2 linked regions of the Callithrix jacchus genome follow. Each later gene encodes a partner of the first gene's protein in a complex. Links are inferred from orthologs where the notes say so. Each region holds a gene or a part of one and is shown on either strand. Other genes may lie near its edges. The genes, in order: AAK1 and PDLIM5.

Region 1 (3,824 bases):
CTAAGGAGGGTTGAACCAGCCCAGACTGGGAATAGAGCAGGTCAAAACTCCTGTGCTGATCAGTAGTGGGATCCTGCCTGTGAATAGTCACTGCACTCCAGCCTGGGGAACACAGCAAGGCCCCATCCCAGTTGAGTCTGTCAAGTAGCTAGGACTATAAGCATGTGCCACTATGCCTGGCTAATTTTTATTGGTAGAGATAGGGGGTCTCATTATTTTGCCCAGGCTAGTCTCAAACTCCTGGCTTCAAGCCATCCTCCCACCTCAGCCTCCCAGAACACTGGAATTACACACATTAGCCAATGAGGTTGGCATACAAAAAGAGCAATGTATTCAAATATATCAAATATGTTAAAATCTAAGAATTCCTAAAGATACTAAACTCAACAAAACAAAAACCTCACTGTTCACCTTTGGATGCTAAGATGGAACAAATTTATTACTCTGAAAACTAGTAAACAAAAGGAAAGGATCAAGAGTTTCTCCTGCCTTTTCTGTATAAACAATACCTCAGGGTAACTAAAGAGTTGATGAAAAAATTTCTTCATGGAAAACTTCCAGCCCCCAAATGAAGAGGGTTAGAATATCATTGTACCATTCTTGATGAATTAAGGAACCTGGGAAATTATCAGCTATGGCTGCTAAGCTAATGGGGAATGTTAAACAAACGGATCAGACAGACAATAGCTCAACACACTGATTGATCTTTTTCTTTTTCCTTTTTTAAATGTTTTTGGAAAACACGGTCTTCAGGGAGATCTGAAAATACATGCTCCCTGATCTTAATATTAATGAAATAGAGGCGGACGAGGCATTATAGACCTTCTGACACCATGCAACAGGAAGAACAAAGAACAGCTGTCAGATTGAATCGAATACTGAGTAAGCCTCAAGAAATTACCAGTGTACATGGAAGATGGTCAAACACCTCAAATGACACCACAGCATGCAATCAGCTAAACCCAGAATGCAAAAAATTCCATGAGACAAATAATCCAGTTTCTCTGAAAAATTAAATGACAAAAACGAAAAAAAAAAGGGGAGAGGGAACCTATGGATAAAAAGGGACTTAAAAGATATATCAGCCAACCGCATTGGCTAATGTGTGTAATTCCAGTGTTCTGGGAGGCTGAGGTGGGAGGATGGCTTGAGGCCAGGAGTTTGAGACTAGCCTGGGCAAAATAATGAGACCCCCTATCTCTACCAATAAAAATTAGCCAGGCATAGTGGCACATGCTTATAGTCCTAGCTACTTGACGGACTCAGCTGGGATGATCACTTGAGCCCAGGAATTGGAGGTTGCAGTGAGCTATAACCACACCACTTCACTTCAGCCTGGGAAACAGAGCAAGACCCTATCTCCAAAAAAAAAAAAAAGATATACTAAACATTATAAAATGAATACGTTCATAGTAAAAAATGTGAAAAAATATACGAAAAGATAATGGAAAACAATATAGACCAACTTAATACAATCTGTTCTTATTGGATACTGATTCAACCAAGCTAACTTAATTATGAGACATCAGAAACAAACACTCATGCATATTTGATAATAAGAAACTATTGTTACTTTTTCCTCTATTATGATAATGGTGCTACAGTTATATTAGAAAAAAAAAGCAGTCTTTAAAAAATAGCTCTTGTACTGATGTTCCTCAATCAGGTGACAGATTCCTCATGGCCTGAGAAAAAGGATGAAGGGGTGTATGATGGATCCGCTTCTCAATGCTTTAGTATCTACATCTATGAGAAATGGTGAAGTAATGTTTCATGGCTCTCTGGGAAGATGCCTTTACCCAGTGGGCCTTGTCATAGTCATGACTCAGATATGCAAGCAAGGGCCACACTCTGACCACCTTACCTGCTGAGTCTGGGCCTGCTGCTGCTGCTGGTAAAATGTGCCCGCCGGCTGCTGCTGTGGTGGCGGTGGCTGTTGCTGCTGCTGTTGCTGCTTGAGGAAGAGTTGCTGCTGGTGCTGGGGTGTGGCCTGGGCCTGAGTGGGCAGACTCTGGGCCTGAGTGGAAGGCGTCTGCTGTGGAGTGGGAGGAGCCTGTGGCTGCTTGGCCTGAGATTGTGGCAGAGGCTGGCTGGGTGGGGCTTGGGGTTTTGGTTGGGGAACACTGGCTAAAAGGCCAGGCTGATTGCTGGATCCTGCAAAGAGAATAAACTCCACGTAAGGGCTCCAAACTCTTCCAGACAAAAGGGGCTTTCTGTGTTGCCAAAACAGTTAATAGGGGGTGACAAATGGGCAGATTATCCCAAGATACGTGTGCTCCTCACTGTCTTTCCACATGCTCTGTCCCACGTGGACTGTCTTTCTATCTTCTTGCTATATTATGTATTTCAAATTTTTTAAAACAAGGTTCAATATTGCCTCCTTAAGAAAGTATTCCTTTATTAATCACCCCATTTGGTCAATTACAACTTAAGTTGGCACCCTAAGTGTCCACATAGTCAACTGGCCTTTGGTACACATACCTAAGTTTTGCCCCTCTTGGCATGCAGCATGACAAAATCATTCCCTGGTGATTTACATGTAGCTTATCCCAGTCTGGATGCTTGACTATAAGTAGATGGCCACCACATTCAGCAAAAGCAGCTTCCTGGGAGGTTTCAGTTACTTGATATTTTGGATCAATCCTTCTTATGAAACAAAACTCATTCATCCCATTAGAAACAGAATACCAAAACATGAAGGTGTGGTAGATACTTCAAGGGCAAAGCATTAAGGAAACAATATTCCTCTGCGAATGTCAAAAGAGATGAGTCTTGTTTTTATTTTTTTGGGGGGGCATGTATGAAAATAAATCAGTTTCTTTGTATCTCAGCTAATCAGACTCCAAACTTCCTAAAATTGAATGTAACCTGTTTGCTAGTCCAAGCCCGTCAGCCTCTTCAGTTCTGTCTCTTCTAGGCATCTTTAATTGTTGATTTATTAGACCCAAGCAGGCATTTTTGTAGGCTAGGAGGCAAATGAATAGAATCATGCTTTCTACCCAATCATCTCCCTTGGCCCATTTCAATGTCCCAAAGTTTAATTAACAGAACAGGGAAGATACTCTGGACTGAAAACACTTTGGAAGAGTCTTGTTTCTTTACAGGCAAAGGGAAATATATGAAATAAAGTGGTAGGATAAGGTTCTAAAACCCAAAAATCAGGGCCAGGTCTAGAAAAAGATAGAGACAAGGGGCTTTAGTGGTCTTGGAGATCCATCCCAGAATTAAAGGAGGTTCCCCCTTTTGTCAGTCTTATGCCATACAATTTCTTTCTTTCTTTTTTTTTTTAAATGGGGTTTCTCTCTTATCACCCAGGCTCGAGTGCAAAGACATGGTCTCGGCTCACTGTAACCTCTGCCTCCCAGGTTCAAGCAATTCTCCTGGCTCAGCCTCCCCAATAGCTGAGATTATAGGTGCACGTCACCATGCCTGGCTAATTTTTTGTATTATTATTATTATTTTTTTAGTAGAGATGGATTATCATCATGTTGGCCAAGCTGGTCTTGAAATTAACACCTGACCTCAGGTGATTCACCTGCCTCAGCCTCCCAAAATGCTGGGATTACAGGCGTGAGCCACCATGCCTGGCCATTGCCGTACAATTTCAATGGCAGCTTCTTCCTGTTCCTCAAGGAACACTCTATGTGCCTCTAGATTCCAATCCTAAAGCAAACCAGGCTTTCCAAGATTTCCCTGTTGTCCTGAATAACAAAAAGGTGTACTGAGCTTCAAAGCAATCTAGATACTAACCTGCAGCTTGAGGTGGGGGCTGAACAGTGGCCCTCTTCCGGGGTGTCAGGGCCGGCTGGATGGGAAGGATTCCT
Region 2 (3,824 bases), on another chromosome or scaffold:
TGCACCAAAGTATAGGTTTGTTTTAATTTTTAAATGCTTCCTCTTTCCTTCAGAACTTTTGCAGATAATACCATAAAACCTTTGTAAGTTAATGTTTCCTGGCACCCTTTGAGAGGAAGCAGAAAGTTTTGTAGTAAGCACTTATGAAATATGCTTACTTTATTCACTGTGATTATAATGTATAACAGTGATTATTATTTAAGTTTATTGATTGGCATTTGTGAAGAACACGCATCTAAACATGCATCAGTTTAGATGATTTGTGAGTCTGTTCTTATGTATCCTGTTACTTCGAGGGAAAGTTCAAGACAAAAATGAAGTATGTGTGCCTACTTTGGATTAGCTTTACAGGGATTTACTGGTACAGATATTAGAATAAACATTTATGTATTTATTGTCTTCTTTTTTAACATCCAATTACCTTTCTGTAACAGGAAGTCATCAATGCGTTGAAACAAACTTGGCATGTTTCCTGTTTTGTGTGTGTAGCCTGTGGAAAGCCCATTCGGAACAATGTTTTTCACTTGGAGGATGGTGAACCCTACTGTGAGACTGGTAAGATCAGGGAGCCATTTGTTTCTTGAATTTTGAATAAAGGTAAAACATTAACCCATATAAAACTATAAAGTCAAAAAACTGTTAGGCAAAGTCATTTTCTTAATTAATTTGGGAGAATTTAATGTTACTCTAAACATACAGAAAAACAACTATGTAGATTTTTTTTCTTTTGAGATGGAGTCTCACTTGTGTTGCCCAGGCTGGAGTGCAATGGTGCAATCTTGGCTCACTGCAGCCTCTGCCTTCCAGGTTCAAACAATTCTTCTGCCTCAACCTCCCAAGTAGCTGGGATTACAGGCATGCGCCACCATGCCCAACTAATTTTGTAGAGACAGGGTTTCATCATGTTGGCCAGGCTGGTCTCAAACTCCTGACCTCAGGTGATCCACCTGCCTCAGCCTCCCAAAGTCCCAGGATTACAGGCATGACCCACCGTGCCTGGCCTTATGTAGAATTTTTAATGTGACTTTGTCAAAACAGATATTCCCAACTTTATTATAATAATTGAGAATGTAAGCATTATTTAGTAGGAAAAATATTTTGCTTGAATTCCCAATAATTTATGGATATAAATTCAACCAAATCTTGTACCTTAAGGCTACTTCTTATAGTCCAGTAGTGAATTTTGAGTTGTTGTAAACATCAGAAATATTCCACTTTAGAATATGATATTGATTTGCACTTTAAGGCAACTGCCTTGAAAATAAATTTGAAATCCTTTGATACTTTTACTGAATGAGAAAGTAATCCTGACTTGGATTGTTCCCATGGTAAAATGGTTTTTAATAAACTAGACTATAAGGACCTATCTACTACATTTGTCATATCACATAAACTCAGAACTTTTCCTTTTCCTTCCCAAAGTCTGTACATGAACTTTCATAAGATTTATTTATTAATATAACCCTTAGATATTACTATCACATACACATTTCAAAATATAAAACATTTTTCCCTTATCATGCCTTCACTCACTACCATCACATTCTCACTACTGAGTTTTATTCTACCTTGAAATCAAAGTGCTGTGCTAGAAGAATGAGATATTCCAGAATAGTGGAGTTAAAGGAGCAGTCAGCTTCTGAATTGAAGCTGTATCATCATTATTTAGCCCTTCTTTGCCCACTCAATATTCTCTTATTTTCATCTTCCTTTCAGCTCCTTAGTTTGAACCAACCTGGGTATATTCTAGACTGTCTCCCGGGAACCCCAGAAATTCCAGTGAAATACCCCATGGGCTGTTATGGGACAAGTTGGCCACAAGCTGCCTTCCTCGATTCAATAAGAATACTTTATATTTTGTAATTCTACTTAATTTTTCTGAAGAAAGAACTGGGGTTTTTTTGTATGTTTTGTTTTATTTTGATTTGTTTGTTTTAGCAGCTTTGGAAAACATTTTGACTAACTGGCAGGTAGCCCCTATCTAGCCAAAACACATAAAACTATGTAGCCTTAATACCATATTTAATGTATTTGAAGTCATATTTTAAAAAACAAATAATTGCTTATAGAAGAGGAAAAATGTTATTGAATATTTATTTAAATGTCACATCTAATCAACTTGGTCTGTTTTTGTTTTTTTTTTCTTTTAACCCCCAAACCATTTCTGAACCCAGTCTTCTTCATCTCAATAAATAATCTTACCGTCCACTAGCCAAGAACATTCAGACCATGTTGGATTCTGCTTTTTCCCTTGTTCTGTCCTTATCCTATCTAAATAGTAAATCCTGGCAGTTCTACCTCCATTGTATATCACAGTCATTTATTTCTCTCCATCTTAACTGTCACTCAATCTAACTTGCTTTCACCCTTTGTCTGGTCATTGTAATTAGCACCTAAATGGTATCGCCCCTCCCATTCCTTCCAGCCTCCAAATAGCAGGCACAGAGCAGCTGTAGTAATATTTTTTTAAAATGTGAATAAACCCCTTAGTGGCTTCCACTAGAAAAAAATTACACTTTTCTTTTTCTTTCTTTTTTCTTTTTGAGACGGAGTTTCGGGCTTGTTACCCAGACTGGAGTGCAATGGCACGATCTCAGCTCACGGCAACCTCCGCCTTCTGGGTTCAAGCAATTCTCCTGCCTCCGCCTCCCGAGTAGCTGGGACTACAGGCGTGCACCACCATGCCCAGCTAATTTTTATATTTTTAGTAGAGACGGGGTTTCACCTTGTTGACTAGGATGGTCTGGATCTCTTGACCTCGTGATCCACCCACCTCGGCCTCCCAAAGTGCTGCAATTATAGGCATGAGCCACCGCACCCGGCCTAAACATTACACTTTTCTTTATTTTTATTTTTTATTTTTTTTGTTTTTTGAGATAGAATCTCACTCTGTCACCAGGCTGATGTGCAGTGGCCTGATCTTGGCTCCCTGCAACCTCCACCTCCCGGGTTCAGACAATTCTCCTGCCTCACCTTCCGAGTAGTTGGGATTACGTACGGGTGCCTGCCAGCAGGCCCAGCTAATATTTTTGTCTTTTTAGTAGAGACAAGGTTTCACCATGTTGGCCAGGTAGAACTCCTGATCCGTCTGCCTTGGCCTCCCAAAGTGCTAGGATTACAGGTGTAAGCTACCATGCCCCATCAAATTACACTTCTTACTAGGGCCTGTTTTGCCATCCTCATCTACTCCCACCTTGACTTCTGTCACCAGATTCTACCCATACCCAGCCCCTTGGCGTTTTCTGAACATGCTGAGATCCTTCCTTCCTCGGGGCTTTTGTGCTTACTGTTTCTTCTAACTGTAATGTTCCTCATCAGCTTTTCTGTGGCAATTTCTCTTTATTCTTCACTTTTCGTTACAACTGTTACATCTTCAGAGAGGTCTTTTCTAATTTTCCTAAATAGCGTAGTGCCCCCCCAATTATTTTGTATTAAATTACTGTTTTCTTTTTTTCATAGTACTTATGATAATCTGAAATTACTTATTTCTTAAATTCAATAAATCATGACATCCTCTTTCCAATGAGAATATAAGCCCCATGAGGAAAGCAACCTCAACTGTCTTCTTCATCACTGTACTTCTGTGGTGCCTTGAACAATGCCTGGCACACAGTAGACTGCATGGATCTATGCTGAGCAAATGGTGCGAAGGAATACTAAAGATTGACGGTTGCTAAGAAAGGTGAATTGCATTGCAAATTATAGCCTGCTTTCCTCTTCAGCTGAGGTTGGACTGACAATGTCAAAGGCCAAAGGGTGAACCATGAGTCAACACAGTAGTGAGAGGAGCTGCTTAAAAGAAAATTAGGGCAACCAGCCTGGCC

Evidence for each region.
Region 2: the proteins of AAK1 (region 1) and PDLIM5 are in contact, whole or in part, in a crystal structure (PDB 9F6S), measured with the Homo sapiens proteins. The link is inferred for Callithrix jacchus from reciprocal best matches to the Homo sapiens genes AAK1 and PDLIM5. Residues at the interface, in NP_055726.4 of Homo sapiens: Asp956, Leu958, Ile959, Asp960, Leu961; in NP_006448.5 of Homo sapiens: Ala12, Pro13, Trp14, Gly15, Phe16, Arg17, Leu18, Phe24, Gln67, Ile70, Lys71.

What each region holds. Positions count from the first base shown.
Region 1 is NC_133515.1:44,373,464-44,377,287, reverse strand, and holds part of AAK1 (AP2-associated protein kinase 1), read right to left. Parts: coding exon 3,751-3,824; intron 3,086-3,750; exon of another isoform or gene 2,957-3,085; intron 2,155-2,956; coding exon 1,865-2,154; intron 1-1,864.
Region 2 is NC_133504.1:102,894,693-102,898,516, reverse strand, and holds part of PDLIM5 (PDZ and LIM domain protein 5), read left to right. Parts: intron 1-434; coding exon 435-555; intron 556-3,824. UniProt on the Homo sapiens protein: May play an important role in the heart development by scaffolding PKC to the Z-disk region. May play a role in the regulation of cardiomyocyte expansion. Isoforms lacking the LIM domains may negatively modulate the scaffolding activity of isoform 1.